2 linked regions of the Coturnix japonica genome follow. The protein of the gene in region 2 interacts with the protein of the main gene of each other region in a pairwise test. Links are inferred from orthologs where the notes say so. Each region holds a gene or a part of one and is shown on either strand. Other genes may lie near its edges.

Region 1 (10,446 bases), on a different chromosome or scaffold from region 2:
TTCAGAGCCTGTCCCCAGGATGAACAGGAACACCCACAGCCACAAAACATCACAATGGCTCCACGCTGCTTATTCCTTCAGACATTCTTTTATTAGCAGTGTTACCTCATGTCCTGCTGAATTTCCAACAGCCATTTAAGGATGTTCTTCACATACCAGTCCCATACCCCAGGAGGTGCAGAGCAGGGGAAGAAGTTGCATATCAGCCATTCTCTCATCCCAGACATCTTAAAAAAACACTTCTTCAGGGAAAGCTCATCAGGTGGTATATTTCAGAACTATTTCCTGTTCATATCAGTCGTAACAAAATTATTCCTATTTACTCTAAAGGAAAGCAGGAAAGCCAATTTCATTAGTGCTCTATGAAAACAAAACCATAGCAACAGAAGACCAAAACTGTTCATTTAAAACCTCAGCTCTGACTCTCCTACAATTGTATTACAATGGATAGATGTATATTCTTTTAACACTGCCTTATCCAATTCTCATGTACTACTAATCCCTTATACTCAAATCCTTTATCACATGGCCTTCAGGAATAACTTCTCTAAGGACAGATAGAAATGGGAGAACACAGAACTCATGTTCAATAGTGCTGTGGCTGGGAGAACCACTGCCAGAGTCTCAGGACAAAAAAAGTATATGGAAGCATATATAGTGTTGAAACAAGGTCTTATTTTCCCATATTAAGCTACAAGCATGAGAGGCTTATAAAGTGTTAAACTTAAAGGCTATTCTGTGATCTTCAATTCTAATGTCACTTTCGTCAAATATTATCTGAGGCTATTTTAGAAGCATTGAGTCAGTTTTGTTTTGTTGGTTTTTTTACTTTAATAAAAACAGCTGCTGCCTGTAAAGTTATTATGAACAAACAATGCTCCTTAATAAAGAGGTTTATGGCTGCCATATGCAAGTGCACATGCTTTTAAAAGGAATAAAAACTACACTACAGTGTTTTAGAATTCAATAAGAGAAGTTTATTCCTCTCGAGTACTCATAAGAATCATCAGACATCTTTTGATTCCCTCTATTAACTCATTTTGGCAGACATTAGCATTTCTTCCTCCTGCTTTGCAAATAAATCTGAAATTAACAAATCTACAAGCTGATGTTTCTACAGCAAAAAGTAAAAACTTGGCTTTCCTCTTGTCTCCTCCCCACTGACACAGATATTATTCACCTTTGAGCTTCATCTCTATTCACAATGCTGAGACCTACCCCTCTTAACACCAAAAGAATCTCAAGTTGAAAACCAAGTATTACAGTAAGCTCTTTGTGTGGGTATAGGTTTAGATTGGTATCTTTAAATAGTTTAGAAACTAGAGCAAATGCATTTTGGAAAGAAGTTAAGCAAGAAAGAAAACACGAGTTGCTTCAGTGAGTTCAAGTTGTAATGTGAAATACCCAATTATTAAATGCTCAAAGAGCTGCTTTAATTTAGAACTGGAAAGAAAAGCATTCCAAACGGGCAGCTTTAGTGTACCAATTAAAAAGAAATCTTAAATCTTTAAACCTATTTTCTTTGTAGCTGTAACTTATATAACCAAGAAGCACACAGGGAAAACTGGGGCAGCGAGTATTACCTCAGACAGAAGTGGTCATTACTGAAAAACAGCATTTTGCTCTATTGTCAAGGCAGGAGGCAGTCTCCAGTGGCTCAGTGATCATGAGGAATTCAGACAGGCTGTCTTCAGTAAAGTACCATGCTCCAAACGTTACCCTGACATGCCAAGGTCGGTTAAAAGATAACATTAAGAAGTGGCTGTCCAAGTTCTCTAACTTTCTGTGACGATGTGTCACAGCCAAGGACTGGAATGGTATCTCTGCTGAAGCAACTGACTAGTGGTAGTTCACATCTGGTACTAGCATTTGGGCACGTTATTTTATTGTCAAGCTAATTAGTGCTTGCTATGGTATCTGAGCAAAATTCAGCCAGTTTCAGAAATAAAACAAGTCTTAAATATGTTGTTAAAACAAGTCAGAAAGCAAACAATAGTTCTTCTTCCTCATACCAGGGAAACTCCAAGCCCACTCCACAGACAGAAACTCAAATGACAAAATATGTGAAAACAAATGAGTACAAGAACTGAAGGACTCAGGGGAACACTCTTAGCTAACAAGCATTTCTGTTTGTGTAAGCAGGAAACTTCACTGCGTACAGCTTCAGTGTGGATGGAAGGGATCTTTCTAGAAGCCTGCAGCCCACTAGACTCAAAAGCCATCATGAGGTCAGCCTTTCCCTGAGACATGCACAGCAGATTAAATATCCTTCACATTATTAAGCAATTATTACTTTAGATGTAACAGTAATGATGAAAAACCACAAGGCTGAAGAACAACTGAATAAACAGGAAGACATCTGATTAATAGGCAGCTATTTGGTTAAAATTGAGCACAAGCACACGGCTCAACTTTCTTCCAGTAGGAATATTACCTGTCACTATCAATTTCCCCTCCCAAAATACCAACTGTCTCAAGATCTGAATTATTATTGAAGAATTACCATATTTAAACACTCCACAAAACTAAAAATTCTTCACAATACATAAGGTCAAATCTTATTAACCAAAAGTGAGGTGCATATTTAACTAATTAGCTTGTATCAACAAAACATTCTTTTCTCTCATCTCATAGCTACAGCTGCTTTGCAATGGCTCTAAAAGACCAAGAAGGATGCGGATAACTCACGCAGCTTTTATCACATTAGCCACACTCTGCTGTTCTCATAATCATTAGCTTTGAAGTATATTAAACAAAGCAGAAAGTGACCTTAGAGTTGATATTTTCAGCACACCACAGAAGAAAAAATTCTTATCAGACATTTCAGGCCACCAAATGAGATGCTGCTCATAATCACCCAAAACACAAACAGCTAAAAGAACATCGCTGCTACTCTGCCAAGCAATGCCAGGCAGTGACCACCCTACCAGCAGGGCTGTGTTATAGACACCCAATTTCAGCTTGGCTGAAGGATCAACATGAAGCACATTGCATGTATGAGACCAACAGGAAAAAAAAACCAAAGCTTATTAATACAGCATGGCTTTATTAACAAAATGCACAGGTTACCTTACCTACATTTATACTCACCAACAAACTCCACTAACCCAACAGTTTTGAAGACGCTTCCAAATTTAAATCAACTACTCTGATCTTCAAAGGTACAAAGTTACCACTAAACATGTTACTTCATAGATGTCTATCCCTACTATCTGCCCACTACCTTGAATATTAATGGTTACCTCCTAAATAATTTTAAGCAGAGAATCACAGGACACTTAACATGTTAATTCATGTTCAGGCAGACAGAATAATATACTGCCTACACAGAATATCTGCTAACAAGTTACTTTAAACATTCAAGAGTGACAGACATAGATAAAGAGCAACAAAACTTGAGTTGGAGAAAGCAATAAGATACTGGAGCAATCAGAAAGGTCAACAAAGTGGAAGAGCGATAAAGGAGCACAGAAGCAAAGGGAATAGTGGGAATGTGATGGTGTTACAAAGGAAAAGGGCTCACCCATCACTGAAGATCTGGGTTCACAAGGAAAACACCACAAGGGAGGGATCTCCAGACAGAGATTCTTCCCCAGTGGCAGTCAGCTCTTCAGTGTGGTCTAAGAGAGACACAGCCAGACTCCGCTCCTTCTGAACTGGTGAAGCCTTCACCAGTGCTCCCAGTTGACTGGGTCCTTTCCCCAGGTGCACAATCAGTGGTTCAGGCTTTGATTCAACAGTCACCATACAGATACATAAGTGAGAAAGCATACTAAAGACCTTGGAGTAGCTAGAGCTTGGTGCAAAGGATCCTACCAGCACCATCTCCTCTCCACTGCTCCATTTAGTAACAAAACAAAAGTTGAATTAAGAGGTAAGTAAACATATGACATTGACATATATAGAATAACTGTTGGGAGTTATTACAATGATGGAACACTCAGACACTCCTGGAGCTCTGCTGGACTGCCTGAACACAGGTCAAAGAGCATATTAAGTAAATCTAGGAAAGCATCATTAAGCATTACTTATGCTGTGACTTAAAGTAAAATACTAGCACCAGTAGGACTGCAGCTTCCTAACATCACTTTACAACCACTAAGGAATGACAATATCATAGATGCATATGCACCTCAACCCATGCTATAATGCTTCTGTGTCTGTCACACAAACTAAATAGCAAGGCTTTCTGCTGGATTAAAGCACTGATCGCATCAAAATAATTGAGGAATCAAAGACAAATACTCCGCATACACAGTAAAGCATGACAAATCTAGTAGTTGTTTTCTAGCATCCTTCCTTACCTACATGCAGATGGTGGGCACTGGTAGCATGTATGGGTAGCACACACAAGGGCTCTGCTCCCACACATATATCAGTATCTTCCCATTTCACCACCTCGGCGCTGCAAGGAGATGCAGCTGGCATTCAGGAGCACCGCGATGCACCGATTCATCACCTGCTTACAGCAAAACCCGCATACGCCTCACCAAAGTAATAACAGTACCAGGAAAAGTTGCAAGCTAACGCATTAGAAACGAAGGCTCAAACCTAGAACTGAGCTGCGTATTGATGGGAATTCATATTGGTTACTAAGAGCTTCACCTTAAAGCTTTCCAATAACTGCGAGCACCAAAAGTAACGCGACCGTTGTCAAACAGCCCATATAGGGGACACCTACAGGGCAACACAAGCCAAGAGATAGAGAGGAGAGAGGCAGCAGCTCAGCACAAGGCTGGGGCAGCTTCGTTCTGCCACGCTCAAACCACGGCTGGGACAGAGCTTCAGGAGACCACAGAATAGCATAAAACACACTCAGGTGGACAGGCTGCAGGTGCCGGGACAGCAGGACGCCACATTATTATTGCTCTCTTCCTTCCCCATTCTCTCCCCACATCACCCACCACCTCCCCTCAGGCACTGACACACAACCCGCACTACGGAGCCACGCAGCTTCACACCGACATCAAACCGCAGGCTGCTCCCGCAACCCTAAACACAGCACCGGCTGAACACAGCAGGCTAAAGGCACTTACCACAGCAGCAGCTCAACACCACCCCCCTCCACTGTGAGAAGTGCAGCCGCTGCTCCCCGCGCCGGGATATGCCACCGCGCCCCGTCCAGGCCTCGCCCACCCGTCCAGATTCGAGCTCTGATTGAATAGACTCTACTCCTATACTCCTCCTCATTCCCTCCTACCCGCCCCTTTTATCGCCTCGTTGCATTGTTGGTGTTGTAGTTGAGGAGAGAGGACTACGAATCCCAAGTATCCGAGCGGCTGCCGGTTAGTTCCGGACAACGCCTGGTGTGTGGTAACACGGCGGACGCTTCCTCCTTGTTGGGTTTCCGGCGAGGTGGAGGAGCCCCCTCGGAGCTCGGTGAGCTTTGCGGGGCGGAGAGGTATCGAGGTAAGGCGGTGAGGTGAGAGAGGCTTCGTTTTCTTCTCTAGGCCCATGTCTTTAAAGGGATAAGCGCCTGGAGAGACACAGAGGAAGAGGGTGGGGGTCACCGGTGTAAGGCCTGGGTTTCCTTTTGGGGTTGTGCTATGTTAGAAGCGTTAAACTGTCTCAGGTTTGAGGCTGGGTGAGGGGAGAAACGTTGTTTGCTGCAGGTGTGAGGCCTCGGCCTTTTTCTTCCTACCGCGGGGTGACCTGGCCCAAGGGCTCGTCCTTGTTTCCGCCCTTCCCGCTCGGATCCCTCCTGGTAGGGCCGGGTACCAACCCCCGTCCGCAGCCCTATGGCTGTTCTTGGCAGCGTTAGGCCTGCGTTGTATTTTTAGCCCGGCCTCGTACTGCTGAACGGCGTTGTCAGGGCTGGGCCTGGTTCGCTCCAGGTGGGGCCTTTCGTCTGGGGGAGGATAGAAAGTGATCACGTCGTGCTTCCTCTTTAAACCAAGCTTTAGGCTGGTGTTGTTAAACACCTTAGTGTGCTGTTATATGATTAATGAGTGGCGAGTGTGTGGCCTTCCTGGGGCTTGTCCATATAGGGGGCACAGGTTTGCTGCTGAAGCCTTGAGGCAGGTGGATGTGTTCTTGTTATCAGAGGAACTGATTGCTGAGTGCTGGTTGTTTACCCATTGGGATGTGTTATTGTGTTTGGAGCTGTTTCTGTTTGTGGTTTATCTGTTAGTGGTTGATAGGGCAATGAGAACTGAGTAGTTTTACTTTCAAATTCCCTTGGAAGAGGAAAAGAGCTTGAAAGAGAAACAGGGATGTGTTGTGTTATTCTGTATTGGAGAGGCTTCTTTGTGGCCTTCTAGTACTTAAAAAGAGACATGTTAACAAAAGAGAAATGAACTTTGTCTGCGTGTCAGTAGTGATAGTACAAGAGAGAGATGAAATTAGGGCCTAGTCCAGGCATCTTTTGTTTTTCATGTGATAGGCAGACACAAAACCAAAGTATTAGGGTGTACTAAATAATTTCTATTCTGAACTTCAGACAACAGATTTATTGAAAGCCAGATTTCAGAGTATTTTGAAGTAACCGTCTAAAAATAGGCTTCTTGAATTTACTGCAAGTTTGTGCAACTTAGTCACCCAAATTGGCTTCACAATAATAAAATGCACAAGCAGTTATACTCTGTCAGAGTGAACTCATCTGGAAGTGGCTGTGATAGATGTGCATGCAGGTATTTGAGGAGTACATGTTTGCTCTACTAAGAGGCATTTAAAGATGCCTATTAAACTTGAGTGCTGTTTTCTGATAGTATTCCTTTTGTTATCTCTTTTGGGAAGGTGCTGAATGTAAGCATTAGCTTAATACAGAACCTGTACAGTAGGCTGCTTCTTTAGGTTTCTTGTTGTCTTTATTAGTTTTAGAATACAGAGGTTGTTATCATCATAGCTGCACTTGACACCAATTTCAGTGAATTCAACCATCCTGTCCCCAGCTCTAATAAGAGAAGTAGCTCAGTATTTGAGGCACAGAGGCTTTCAGCTTTGTACTATGCAGTCAAAGTTATACAAGAGGAGTGGTTATGATCTACGAATGGAAGTACTATGTAGGTAACTTCTCTCCGGAAGGGGGGAACTTGTGCTTTTTTTTCCAGTTTATTATGAGCAACCATTAACAAGAGAAACTTAAAGGTACCAAGTTGTGCACAGGGTAGGTACACTGTTAGAACTGCATATTAGCCATGTACTTGGGCTTTACAAATAAAGGCCAAGGTCTTTGCCTCTGAATTTGGGACAGGCCTCAAGTTAAGTGTTTGTTTTTATCCCGTTCTTTCTTACTAAGCTTAAGTTTTTCTGATGGCAAAGATCTTAGTGGATTTTCTCTTAACACAACCTTCTTGAATCCTCCCTACAAGAAGTGGAGTGGAACTTCTTGTTAGTGGGGATAATCTTTCTAGGAGGAGCAGAGCTGTAACTTCTGGTTCTGTCCTAAAAACCAGTCATTGAATTAATCATGCAGGTAGATCAATGCCTCAGGCCTTCTTCCACTTGGTACTTCGCTTAAAAAGAAGGAGCAGGCTTAAAAAGAAATAGCACAAACGTTTGGCTGCTTTAAGATTATCTACATCTGAGGTAAATGGAGCCTGGAGAATGGAATGGAGACAGCACCAGTGGTGTAGGTAGGTGACGTAGCTGAGGAGTGAAATTCTGCCATCTGGAACTTCATGTTTCCATTGTTTTCCAACTTCTTTCAAGTTCCAAGCATAACACTCTGTCTTCTCTTTAAACATGCTTTCAAAAGGTAGTATGAAGCAAAATACTTTCTTTCATAGACAAGTAGATTGTTTTCACACTGACCAGTGAGCAAAGGTGGATTTGGGAAAGTTTCTGCCCTTCCTGGTTCTTCTGCCACTTGACTTTTAAGTGCCTGTCAGAAAATAGCATAGATGAGAAAAGCAAGTTTGTGTCTTGGGCACTGGTAACAGTAGCTGTACATTTTGGGAAAGTGTGGAGTTTCTTGCTTTTCATCTTCCTGCTTTACAAGAAGTTTATCTGAATGTAGGGTGTTGTGTTGTTTTTTCCTTTCAGGCAGTTCCATTGAATGATTGAAAACCTCATTGGGTGGATTTGGAGGAATAGATCTATAACATAACATTGAAATTCATCTTAAGTGTGCTGGTTCTGTGATTACTGAATAGTTGGGCTAGTCTTTTGGTGCTGAAACATTGAAGGTTATAACATATAAGATTTATATGGACAGTGAAAGTAGATTCTGTATTAGTTATTCTCTGGGAATAGGGCTTGATGCATTTGGCTTAATGCTAAACAGACAGGATTATATTAGCTTGCATCTTAGCACTGTTTTCGAATTTAAATTCTCTTTACACTGGCTATATCCATCTTGTTCCTTCCCTCTGATGATTGATTTCATCTGATAGGGGTGAGGCATGACTTGTAATTACACATGCTGGTGAACAGGCTACATTTGAATCTGTGGGACTGCTGTGTAAAGAAACAAGTCTTATATGCAGATGATATTGAGTAGTCTGTCTTTTCCCATAACTCATATGGTATATCCTAATTTCTCCTAGTCTTCTCCCTCAGACCAATTAACAGACTGGCCAGTTGAGTAATGTTCTTTTTGCATCTAACAGCAATTTTCCAGGGTTTTCTGTATTACATGACACTGTGGTATTCTAATGGATCAACTATTTGTAGGATCTTATTCCAGCTTTTTTGATTGTCAGCAAAGCCACACATAGCAACACTTCTGAAAGCTATTGGACTACCTAACAATTCACAAAAATGATGGAGCTGGTTTTAGTTTGCATGGGGATTTGGTCTAAATCATGTTTGAGACCATGAGATTAGTGAGGTGCTGGAACAGCTGCCCAGAGAGGTTGTGGATGCCCTGTCCCTGAAGGTGTTCAAGGCCAGTTTGGATGGGGCTATGGGCAGCCTGGTCTAGTATTAAATGGGGAAGTTGGTGGCCCTGCCTGCAAGATGGGTTAGAGATTCATGGTCCTTGAGGCCCCTTCCAACCTGGACCCTTCTGTGATGTTGCCAACAAAAGTGGCTCATGTTCTTGCCTGTTTTTTGTGTGCATGTGTATTTAAAAGCCCCTCTTGTCCTCACTACCTCTTGTCTTCCATCCCTTGAGTTCTCTGTGATAATGTGAGTCCAGGGTTGATTTACTTTGTTTGAGGAATGTCTGTACCTGCAAAAGGGGTAATAGATGGTCTATAATTGTTTTAATATGGGGTGTTTAATGGTACAATAGGTTAGTAACAGTAGCTTATAGCTCCTCAGAAAGCGAGTCTTTCATGGTAGTCTACAGTGCAATAGGTTTTCATTGTCATAAAAATCTATCATTTCAGTTAATATTTTATTTTTTTCCTGGATACTGCAACCCATAAAATCACAGTAACTACATCTAATGGTTGCTTTGTCCTTTTTGCCCTTCTGCTTGTGATCAAAAATCTTTTGGGTAATGTTCAGTGATGTTCAGTTACCTGTTCTGAAAAGCTTGTACTGACAGCACAATACTTTAGATAAACACTTGCAGGCAATCTATGAATGCTGGCTTCAGTGATGCTCCTTTGTGTGCTGCCTTCCTTGAGTCTTTATCTTACTGACCTTCCAGAAACACAGAGTTAAAGAGTAAAACAAGCAGCTCTCCTTCCCCCTTGCCCATGACATGCCAAGGCTGTTGGTGCTGGCACTATGCATGTGTAAGAAATGGGACAGCTTGTACTTGCACTGGTGAGGAAACTTGTTCAGACGAGGTTCCCCCCCCCCCCCTTCATGGGAGTAGACCTGGCATCAATTTGTGTAACTTGGAAATAAATTGTTTAAAGATGATTCCACTTGGGGGAAATGATGAATATTGGTTGCTTATAACTGTAAAAGAGCTGCTGGTCTTTTCATCTGGTCTTGATCTGTAATACCATTCATGCCAACATAGCTGTACAACTACCTCTATAAGGATCCAGTAAGTAGCCTTGGTGGCTACAGAGGTCTGCTTACGTGTTGCACTGAAGGCTTGAAACAATAATAGAAAAAGGTTTTGCAGTAGATAATCCATGTCACAATTTGTGTGAAGGACTGTCACTTCTTATTATATTTACATTTAATTTCTTCTTAATGTGCTTTCCCAACTGTTGGCTATTTCTGTACTGTGACCTGCTCCTGAGTTTTATCACATTGGGGTGTTTTCATGTTGCCCAATCACATGCACACATGAGGCATGCATGGTATTTGTAGCCATCCACGTTCCTTGTGTGCTTACTTGAATCAATAACAAATCTCACTTATATGTGCCTGCACTGGGCAAAAGGATGAAGTGTTTTGCATTTAAATAGATGTGTGCAGGAGATTTCTAACCAGAGCAGAGTGGGGAATAGAGCTTGAAGTGTCTTAGCATGTTTTATCACATTCAGACCATTGCAAGGTGATACTGGTTATTGCTGTAGTTTTTACTGTTGCTTAAAAATGTCACCCTATTCACTTATTTACTAAAATATCAGTGAAATCTGTTACCTGGGCATACAA
Region 2 (10,432 bases):
ATTGTTTGTACTAATAAACTAAGGACACAGACTCGTATGTGTTTGCAGTTTTAATCTGAGGGAAAGCTCCAGTAGGATAATGCATTTTAGTGTACTGTAGTCTCAGCTCACGCTATATCTCAAGACTTTAATGCTGTACAGAGTGTATGTTGGCCATCTCCACAGCAGCAAATTTCACGCTAGTAGAGAGACATAGTTGTAGACATTTGCAGCTCCCATTAGCCTGTATTCTAATGATTATTTAAGGGCTATGTAAGGAGAATTCCAGTATTTTTCTCATTAAAGTTAACTAAATCAAACATTAAAAAGCCACTGAAATTTGCAAAGCATGCTTAGGCTCTCCTTATGACTAGATTACATTCTGTCTGCATGTAACTCAACAGACAGAAAATATGTGTAACCTATCTAGTAGAAAGCCCAGGAAAGTAGGGAGTGTTTGAAATCCCCCTCCTCTGAAGAGCTGTGGAACTGCAAGTGGTTCTGCAATCCACTCCTCCAAGGTTTCTGTTCTGAAGGTAAGCAACCTTCCTTCCATCTTCTTTCAAAATAAGGGCATGACTCACTCATGCCAGTCTTGATGTCCTTGTGAATAACCTGCATGTCAGAAAGCTAATTCCTTTGTGATCTTGAAAGAGTGAAAATACATCTCTTATCTGCCAGCAGAGTGACCAACATTGGGTAACAGCTGAACATAACATAGAAACAGAACAAAACAGAAACAGAGAAACATTCTTTGTTGAGAAGCAGTACAAGAACACAGTCAGCATCACTTCAGCTGAGTGGTTTATTAGTGGTGTACCCAGACTTGCTCCTCTTGTTTTCTGCCTCACCACTTTTGCATGGTAGCACAGCATCTTGGGGCTGGAGACAGTCCCCAACATAACAGATGGTCAACCTGCCAGTGAGAGCAGTCTTTCCCTCAGCTCAGGTCAAACAGGGGATTTGGGCCTTTGTCGAAGCAGCTGGGTGGCACTAGAAAGTTAATGATGTATATAAACAGAACAAGTGTTCCCTTCATTTTTTGAACCTTAGTCTCAAGTCTCACATGTTCTAACCAGGGATCAAGAGTGGAGCAGCACTCCTATTTCTCTTAATTGTAAACCAGTAAGAAAGACAAACATACACATGACTCTTACTTTAATTAAGTCCTTTTGCCTAGTATTGGGTCTATAATCTCACTGAGAATTCTGTTTAGATCCTGTTCCTCTTTACACTTTGAATCTACCTCAGTGTATCTGTACTCAGCTTTCCACCTTTCTGAGTCTATTTCTCAGGTGTCAGATGAACACTGAGCTATCACAGTAGATGTTTCTGAACATTATCAGGCTGCAGGGTGTCCAAATACCGGCTGCTGCAAGACTGGGTGCTCCACAGCCCTCACAAATATGACCGCAAGCACTCCCATACTATTGTATAGAAAGTAAACAGTTTCTTTAATAATGAGAGACCCAAATACAAAGTGCTATTCTATTTCTTCAGAGGAACAGGGCAATTTACTTTCTCTTAAGGAGCACTATTTGCATATCCAGAACAAAGCTTTCATTCATTCTTTATCTAAAGTGCATCAATAAACAGGATCAGATGAAGGTCCATATTTTCTGACACACAAGGCTCTAGGAATAGGCCATAGCTGCAAGAAAGCTTTAGGGGGGAAATAGCCGGAAATTCTTTGGCTGACAAAGGTAAGCCAGAGGTCAGCTAGAAAAAGCATTTTTATCAGTCATTTCCTTTGCACCACAACTGGGGAATGCACGGCCCGTGACTTCATTTCATACGGCCTGTGGCCATTTAAATTTTTTCACGCTACTAGCAGATAACATCAAATGTGAGTTAACAGGTAGCTTGGAAAAGGCATTCAGAAGGCTTTCAGTTTTCAGTGTTTCTCCTGCACTGATTTCTTTATGCTGCATAAGCAAGTCCTGCTCAGAAACCTGTAGTGACAGAAGTGTTCTCAAGTGGCAAAGGGAGACTGAAACAAATATCTGCCACTATAATAATGGTCATACAAGGAAACAGGGGAAGGACTATTTCAGCCCTAGATCAGTTTAAAGTCCTGAGAATTCACTGTGACTGTCAAAAAATTACATTGAAAGTTTTTCAAGGCAAGTTGACTGATGTGATGCTTATGTGTCTTTGTGACACATTGTTTTCTTTTTTTCATAAGGGACTAAAAGATATAATATATCCACCCTAGATGGATTTGACTCTTAGGTAACATGAGACAGCTTCTGGGCTCTTACAGAGGCCACACCACAGTCCTCCATGCTACCAAAACTTTGCTACATAAAACTACTCAGTGTTTTACAGTAAATATTAAAAGTTCAAAATGACAGAAATTTTGTTATGTATCCCTATTTCTTCAATTATAAAATCAAGGGCATTTTATTTTTTCGCACATTTTTAACATATTCACAAATATGACCCGTAAATGTCAAAATGTGAAGTAGGACCTCAGGATAGCTGTCAAGGACTTGTTATTAAAAGTCATTTTATACATTTATGTTACAAATATGACCTACTTTAAAATTATTACACCCTGTTAAAGATATTACTCAACATTTCTTTGTGGAGCTCAACCTTGATGCAGGAAGAGCAATGGACTGCATTATTTCCCTTGGTTTGCCTTTCCAGCCTGGTCATCAAACACCACTCCTGGCATTTTGGAGGTAGTCTGGAGACTTTTACAAAGCCACTGATGATCACAGTGTGGGCCTAAATCACAATGTCAATTCTCAAAACTCAAAGGCTGAAAGAAGTTAACAAGGATGCTGGAAGGTCTGGAAGGCAAGGTGTGTGAGAAGCAGCTGAGGTCTCTTGTTTTGTTCAGACCAGAGAAGAGGAGGCTGAGGGGAGGCCTCACAAGGGGCATCACTGAGCTCCATTTTCTGGTGACAGCAACAGACCCAAGGGAATTAATGGAACTGTGTCAGGGGAGGGTTAGACTGGGGATTAGGAAAAGGTTCTGTACTAAAGAAGGAGCAGCATGGAACAGTCTCCCCAGGGCAGTGGTCACGGCCCCAAGTTGCTGGAGTTCACAAAGTGTTTGGACAGTACTCTCAGACATGGAGATTGAATTTTGGGGTGTTCTGTGTGGAGCCAGGAGTAGATAATATTTTTGGGTCCATTTCAGATCAGAATATTCTATGATCCTTCTAAGGATCATAGAATGAGGCACTTTGCCAGGTGCTTCTCCAGGAGGAGCAGTTCACACAACCATCCTTCTCCATCACTGGAGTCACCATCCCTGACAGTGTTCAAGAAGCATCTGGATATTCCATCCCACCCAGCAAAGCCTCCAAATGACTGCAGCCTCCACCACTTGCAGCACCTGACGTGTCTGCAGCACAGGGATTCCATCTCCAGCCTCAGCAGGGAATACATGAAGGCAAATTTAGGGCACATCCACATGTTCCTGTTGGCATGGCTTTCACTACATAACACTGCTGCACCAGCACAGCTCTTTCATTTACCACAGCATACAAAAGAGATAATGTCATCACCTGATTCCATGTGAATTTGGTGGTGTTCTTTGTATGCTGGAAAGCTTCAGGACTAAAAGAGGTCCAGTCAACAGACTTGAAGTGAAATACACAACATTTGCAAGGCAGGGGATGAAACAAAAAAAACAGACACACCAAAGCACAGATGAAAACAGAAGATCTTGAAAGAAACATACCAGCCTGTTGTCATCTGTCTCCATTATTGAATTGCCTCTTAAGTAAGTGCCCAGAATTTCCCACTGTAAGACCACTTTGCTGATGGTATCTAACTTACGATGTTAACCTCTTGGGCTGCAATTTGTCAAGGCAGAGTGTTATCTCAACAGGAATATCCTCCAAAATGAAAAAAGAAAAATAGAAACAAACAAATTAATTAATTAATAAAAACACCACCAAAACAGTCTACAGTGAGATTAGAGGGAAAATAGGGTTTCTGCTGGCTGAGTATCTCAACTACTTTTCCTGTGGAAAAAATATTATCCTACTTGTGGTTTGACACTCCATCCAAGACACATCTGTAAAAACCTGACCAAATTATCAGCTCAAAGAGATTCTAACAGCTTGCACATACCTATAGAAAAAGTCAGATTTCAGGAACAGGAGATTATTTTCAGCCAATGCTAAGAGCATGTAAGCAAAAATAAATAAGTAGAATATAATTTAGACAAATTAAAAAAAGAAAATCAAAAAAGTCTGCCACAGAGCTTTGCAGAGCTTTGCTGGACTCACAAGCTGCGGATAATGTTTGCCTTTACATTACAGCACAGTTCTCTGCTTCAAATAAGCAGATCCAAAGAAGCTTTTATGACTTTGTTGCTGGGCAGTTGTGTTGCAGGCAGCTTCATTGCTCTGCATGTGGCCAGGTGGCACAGCCAGTGCTCCTGCTGCCCCACCACCTACACGGCAGCCCCAGCCCACCCCTGACATGAATCTGGCAGAGCCACACTGTCCTCACCATAGCGTCTAGAAGGGGAAACACAAGGCAAACCCCGCTCACTGATGAAGTGAGATTTTAAGAGGCTATTTTGCATGAGTAAGGCAAGCAGTACTCAGCATGCCTCTTCCACTGGGAAGACAGGGGTGCAAGCTCCAACCAGTCAGAGGGCCACTCTAAGTGAACAGTCACTGGGAGTGAGAACAATACCTCTACCAGTACAGCAGCCAGGCTTCATATAACCATAAACAAACAGAGAATTTAGCAAAATATTTCCAAAGTGTTGTCAAGTGGGCTACCTCTGCTTGTACTGCTTTGGAACCCCCATCCTAACGTAATGTCAGTGCCAGTTCTTTCCAGGACTTTTTTTTCTTCTTTAAGTTTCCACTTACACATCTACTCACGTTACAGATTACAGCTGGGAAACACCTGACACAGCTGCCAGCAGATATTGCTTAAGTCAGTTCTCTCCTCCCGCACAGGGAACACTCTCATAACTGGGTTGCAGCAGCAGAACATCTTTCATAGCGCATTTGGAAACACCACACCCAAACCAAAGTGATTCCAGGGAAGTCAGCAACTTTCATCAGTAAGTATTAGGGGGTGCCTGCAAACACCTACCTTAAAGCAGAGCTCCTCTGCAGAGCATCACCCAGAACAGTGGGACTCAATTTCTATGCTCAGTAATACTCTGATACAACAGAGGAGATTTTTACCAGAGCTGTTCAGCACTGCCTGTGGCATGAGAAGATTTAATTTTAAGAATATGCAAATAACAGTGTTAACACACTGACAGACTTGGACTTTGTTGTGGTTGTGGTGAGCGGGTGTCCCAGTGGAGAACTATTCGGCACTTGCAATCCCTCCCATTCCTTTTCTAACCCGGCTAGAAAGCAGTGAGGTCTGTCAGGTTTTCTCCAGCTTGCAGGTAAAGGGTTACAGATTCTAGGAAGTATTAAATGCAAACTTTAAAGGATTTTATTTTCATCTGCAGTCACATGACGACTTAATACCCAATGACACTAACTACAGTGTCTCATTAAGAGGTCATGCAAACTCCCAAGCTAAACAAGGCATTCTTACATATTTAACATTCAAATGCAGGAGCCGAGCTAAGCCATGGAAGATTGTAATCAGAAAAAAGCAACACTTCCTGATCAGGACAAAAGCTACAGGTAGGAAAAGTTCTTGTTCCTTTAACTTACAACACTGTGCTTTCAAGAGAAACTGATTGTAGGACATGTTGTGTACACTCTTTCTTAACTTTAGCTCTCAAAATAAGCTAACTTTTATCTGGAAAATATCAGATCTCACCTGTTTCACCTTTTGTAAAATCAGTTTTGTTTATATGCTCGGTTGGCTCAGCAGAAATCCAAACAAAACAATGCTCTTAAACGAAATGTAACTATAGAAAAACTGATATTTTAGAAGATTTCTTAGCTATTCAGACTGTTGTGTTAGAGTATGCAAGGTAAAAGGGGAGTTAATGTGTCTGACATCTGAACTGAGTGGATTTAGAGCTCTTCTGACTTTACTTATACCATGAACTGCACATTGTTTCAGTCACTCTGATGAAAGTATATTTTAATGGATGTGGCTTTCTCGCTGAACTTTCATGATTTCTGATTTCCCTTCCTTCAATTTGATGCATTTAAAAGGAAAAAATATCTTACAAATGCAAATGAAATGCAGATGGGGAGGATATTTCAGTGCTCTATAAAAGGAGAAAAAAATAATAATTATTAAAAACAAAAACAGGGAGTAGAAGGAAAGGCAGTCAGTTAATTGAGAAGTTAAATTGTATGAGGGCATATCCATTAAGTGATAAAGTTTCACTGACAATTGCTGGCAATATTGCAGTTCTTTTTTTTTTTCATTTTGCTGAAGGATTTGTCCAGGATGCGGCATCAGCACTTTGTTCACAAAGATCTTCTTCATCACAGTTTTTCTCTAAACTGTAATTATTTTCACATGGGGCAATACATACTCACCATTTTTACCCCTTTATAGGAATTTAGTTGTAGACGATAAAAACCACCATTTACCTGTAGCTGCAGAGCTACAAAACCTATATTTACTAGAAGATCTCAGTGCACCTTTAGATTTCCACCCCCTGGGGATTCTCACTGCATAAAAGGAGTAAGTGGTGTTTATAGTTTTACTCCTAGGATAGCAGGTGGTAATTGCAGGCAATGTACATTTTCTTCACTTTATTCTAGAAAACCTTTTTCCTCTTTGCACATAACACTAGAGTATACTAAAAAGAAGTGGAGAATAACAATAACTATGACACCTTGCTACATATAGATAAGCTCTCAACTTTCTTTGCTTTATCATTACCAGTGCTTAAAATAAACCCAAGGAAGTTGGAGCTCCAACAAGTTTATCACTAGAGCTTAAAAAACAATTGCTCACTTCCAGGGTGGCCATCTCAACCTGATGTAGGTCCAGCCTGAGACACCGAGTCTTTTACCAGCTATGGGTACTGCTCACCTCCCAGCAGAGGAGTTCACTAAGAAGATGAAGATGTAGAAAGAAACAACCATGTTTTAAAACAACTGTTTTAAATTTACTATAACTGACCTCTGAATTTAAATTATTTACAAAAATACATACACATTTATCTATTCAGTAACTCTTGTAGATAAGGGGCTTATTTGGTAAGCAAAATCTAAACATAAGAGAAACACAGCAGACCCCCAAATACACAGGCATTCTGTTACACAAGCTTTCTCCCAAGGTGAGCATTGCACCCAACTGACCTGTGGGGAGCAGCCTGCCAAGGCCAGACTCTTCTACCAAATGTTTGTACAAATTGGGTGGGTTATGAAAGCCAGCACTTAGGAGCAGGCAAATCTGTGAACACTGATTAAATAACATGTCTTTGTAGGGTGAAAGACACAAGAAATGCTAAAGTCACTCTGAGCAAACAGATACTTAATGAGGGCGAGAAGTAGCTCATTTCCAAAGAGAGGCATATAGAAGAGTTTACTCCAAGCATGCTAGCAGTTCAGATGTTCATTATACCAAAAATCTTACAATCTTTACAGTAATTTACACTGTTTTAATTATTGCATTTGTTTTGTTGTTTTTTTTTTTTCTAATGGTATAACCCAACCTACTAGCTTGCTCTGTCACTTCAACATAGAATCAAATCACAGAATCACAGAATCACCAAGGTTGGAAAAGACCTAAAAGATCATCCAGTCCAACCATTCACGTATTACCAATAGCTCCCACTGAACTATGTCCCTCAACACAACATCCAAATGTAGTATTGTTCACAGGAAGGACACACAAGTCAAAGACGTACAAGAGTACGCTAGAAAAGATATTCTTTGAAACCGAGATTCATGCAAATCCAAGACAGAATTTTTATCTTCAGTCTTTGGGAAAAACCAAGGAAACATAAAAATTAAAATGCTTCCATGAGTTTGGAATTGTTTTCTGTTCTCCCAAAACCAGAGCTAAGCAAAATATTGATTAAAAGTTAACCTGGCTTTTCCAAAATGCTTGTGAATCTCAGGAAACCTGTATCAGATTTAAGGCTTATACTGCAAATCGTGAACCTGCTCATTTTCTTGCAGCTCTAGGTAGGCAGGAAGACAGAGCAAAAGCTGTGACTGAGTGCATCTGTGGCTTCCTTGGAAAGCCAGGTAGAAAGTGATCACCATGCAAAGGAAATATTTTTGAGTGCTAAGGCTCTTCATTAGCCACATGGTTGTTTTTATCACATCTCAAGGAAACACTTAAGGAAGTATCTGCTTTCAACCAAGGTTCTTCATATAGGCAAGAGTGTGATGCTTTCCTTCCCACTGAGCAGAAAACCAAGTACAGGATCTGAGGCATATAAAATATAACAGGGAAGGAGACCACACAGGCAAGTAATAGAGAAGGCCTGCATGGTCTCTGTGTGACAGTCCTGTGCAGAAAAAGAAAGACAGACAGAAGAGAGAAAGTGTCTGGTCATGGAACAGGGTGCCCAGTGCCCCAGCCAACAGGAGACCTCAGGGCAAGCAGGGCCTGCACAGGAGACCAGAGTCTGCTTTGAGTCCGTGCTGTTCTGCCACCTCAGGAAAGCCTTCATTCACGTTTTTCAGGAAGGGGAGGCCTTTTTCTGTGTTTGCACAGTATCTAGTTAAACACAATCTCAGTCTTGTCAACATCTCACACAACCATCGTTTCACAAGTGACGTGGTGAGGACAAGACTTGACATATGCAACCCACTGAAAGGTGATGTCATCAGATAATAAATATTTGCTTGGAACTTAAAATTCCTCTTCCAAAACCTGTTCATCTGCCACCTGACAGCACACTGTGCCTCATTCTTCCACCAAAAGAAGTGCAAGCAATGATGCATGGACATGGCTGGGTTTTGCAAAGCTAAGGAGCACGAATTCCAGCAAACTGGACATATTGTTATGGAAAATAGGTACAACAAGTGACATAGTTTTACTTATTGAAAGTTTGATATCAAATGGACAAAATAGCTTTTGGTAGAAAGGTCAAAAGTATTATTGGAAAGGGGGGAAAAACAGCAATTTTTCCTCGATCTTCCCTCTAAGTCACTTTTGCTCGGACATATGGAGGAACTTTACAGTTTTATTAAGAGCTGAGTACATAGTTTGGAAACTAAACATTTAATCAGTTACAGCAGGAAGCTGGGAAAAAGAAAAAAAAGAAAAAAGAAAAAAAAAAAGACCTAAGGTTCCTTTTTTGTGTGACGTTTTTGTCTGCAGTTTCTACAAAAGTTTATTTAATTTCCAATTCTTCACTTTAACCACAGATGTTGGCTGCAAAGCCACAGATGCTTTCTGGTTAGAAAAATATTTGTGGTCAAATAGTCTATTATTAATTCACATAAGTTATTTTTCCATTTGGGAAAGCAAGGAACAAGCCATCTCCTTGGGGCTTACTTTTTTTCTGGTGAAACCAAATGGGCCTGGCTCCACTTTAAGTCATTCCCCAGCTATGAAAGAAAGCTGTGCATTGTTATTAAAAAGCAGTTAACTTTTGGATTTAATGAGAAGAAGGCGAATGCTTTGCTATAGCAGACAATCTGCTTTTGTGCAAGAGATGAGTAGAAAAGAAGAGAGCATCCAATGTGAAGGAGGAAATGTACTCCAAGTGACTGAAAAACCTTTCAACCTGGAACCTCCTCCAGGACCCTTCCATACTGACAACAGTGGGAATAGTACCAAATCCTCATACACAGGCCAGGAGCAGAATATGTGACCTGGTGTAGGCTGTGCTGGTGCTGCCACAAATCTGCCCAGCGCTTTGCTACCAGCATAAATTTCAGTGGCACAGCAGCTCAGCTCTGCCCAAGGACAGAAGATCTCCAGACTACATAGAAAAAGATTATTTCACTTTTGACTACACTCCCTGCTGAGGACAGATGCGTTTGGGTGTGAAGACACTTTGCCCAGATAGGTTGGCATTAATGTCCATAATGTCAACTCTGATGTGGAGTCTCTGGAGGCTGCTTTAAGGCAGGAGCAGAAGGAGTGTACCAAATGAGCTATATGGAACCACATTCCCACAGATTCAGGGATTTGCCTGGCAGTATGTCCTTTCCTTCTCTGAAAAGCTATTCTCCCCCAGGATTTATTGCAATGGTTAAATTTATTGCTGTGGTTGTATTTACAGCTCTCACTTCCCCCTTCATCCCGCAGCTTCTTGCAACACTTTTATTAGATTTGGGAGTGCCCAGCATTATCAGCCTTACTCAGCACCTGAACCTTGTGCAACAGTGCAGGACACAGAACAAGGGGCCCACGTCCTGATGCAGCAGCCTAACGCTTTTCTCCCCTTCACCTTCTGCAGCTCCCAGGTCTGGGCTGCAGCCACCCCAGGGCCAACCAGCAAATCTGTACTGCTCTACAGGACCTACAGTTTCTTCTCCCCTAAAAAATGTTAAGCAGCTCTTACATTTCTTACAGCATTCAAGCCTGACAGCAATCTTCTCTATGTGATTTTAACACTGGTTGTTCATGA

Evidence for each region.
Region 1: the proteins of C4H4orf19 (region 2) and PDCD10 interact in binary tests that used the Homo sapiens proteins (3 or more experiments, as listed by UniProt). The two-hybrid records come from large-scale screens. The link is inferred for Coturnix japonica from reciprocal best matches to the Homo sapiens genes PGCKA1 and PDCD10.

What each region holds. Positions count from the first base shown.
Region 1 is NC_029524.1:18,266,938-18,277,383, forward strand, and holds the start of PDCD10 (programmed cell death protein 10), read left to right. Parts: upstream 1-5,229; 5' UTR 5,230-5,379; exon of another isoform or gene 5,380-5,422; intron 5,423-10,446. UniProt on the Homo sapiens protein: Promotes cell proliferation. Modulates apoptotic pathways. Increases mitogen-activated protein kinase activity and STK26 activity. Important for cell migration, and for normal structure and assembly of the Golgi complex.
Region 2 is NC_029519.1:63,119,135-63,129,566, reverse strand, and holds the start of C4H4orf19 (uncharacterized protein C4orf19 homolog), read left to right. Parts: upstream 1-5,382; 5' UTR 5,383-5,609; intron 5,610-10,432. UniProt on the Homo sapiens protein: Acts as a tumor suppressor. Acts as a tumor suppressor for colorectal cancer cell proliferation by targeting KEAP1/USP17/ELK1/CDK6 axis.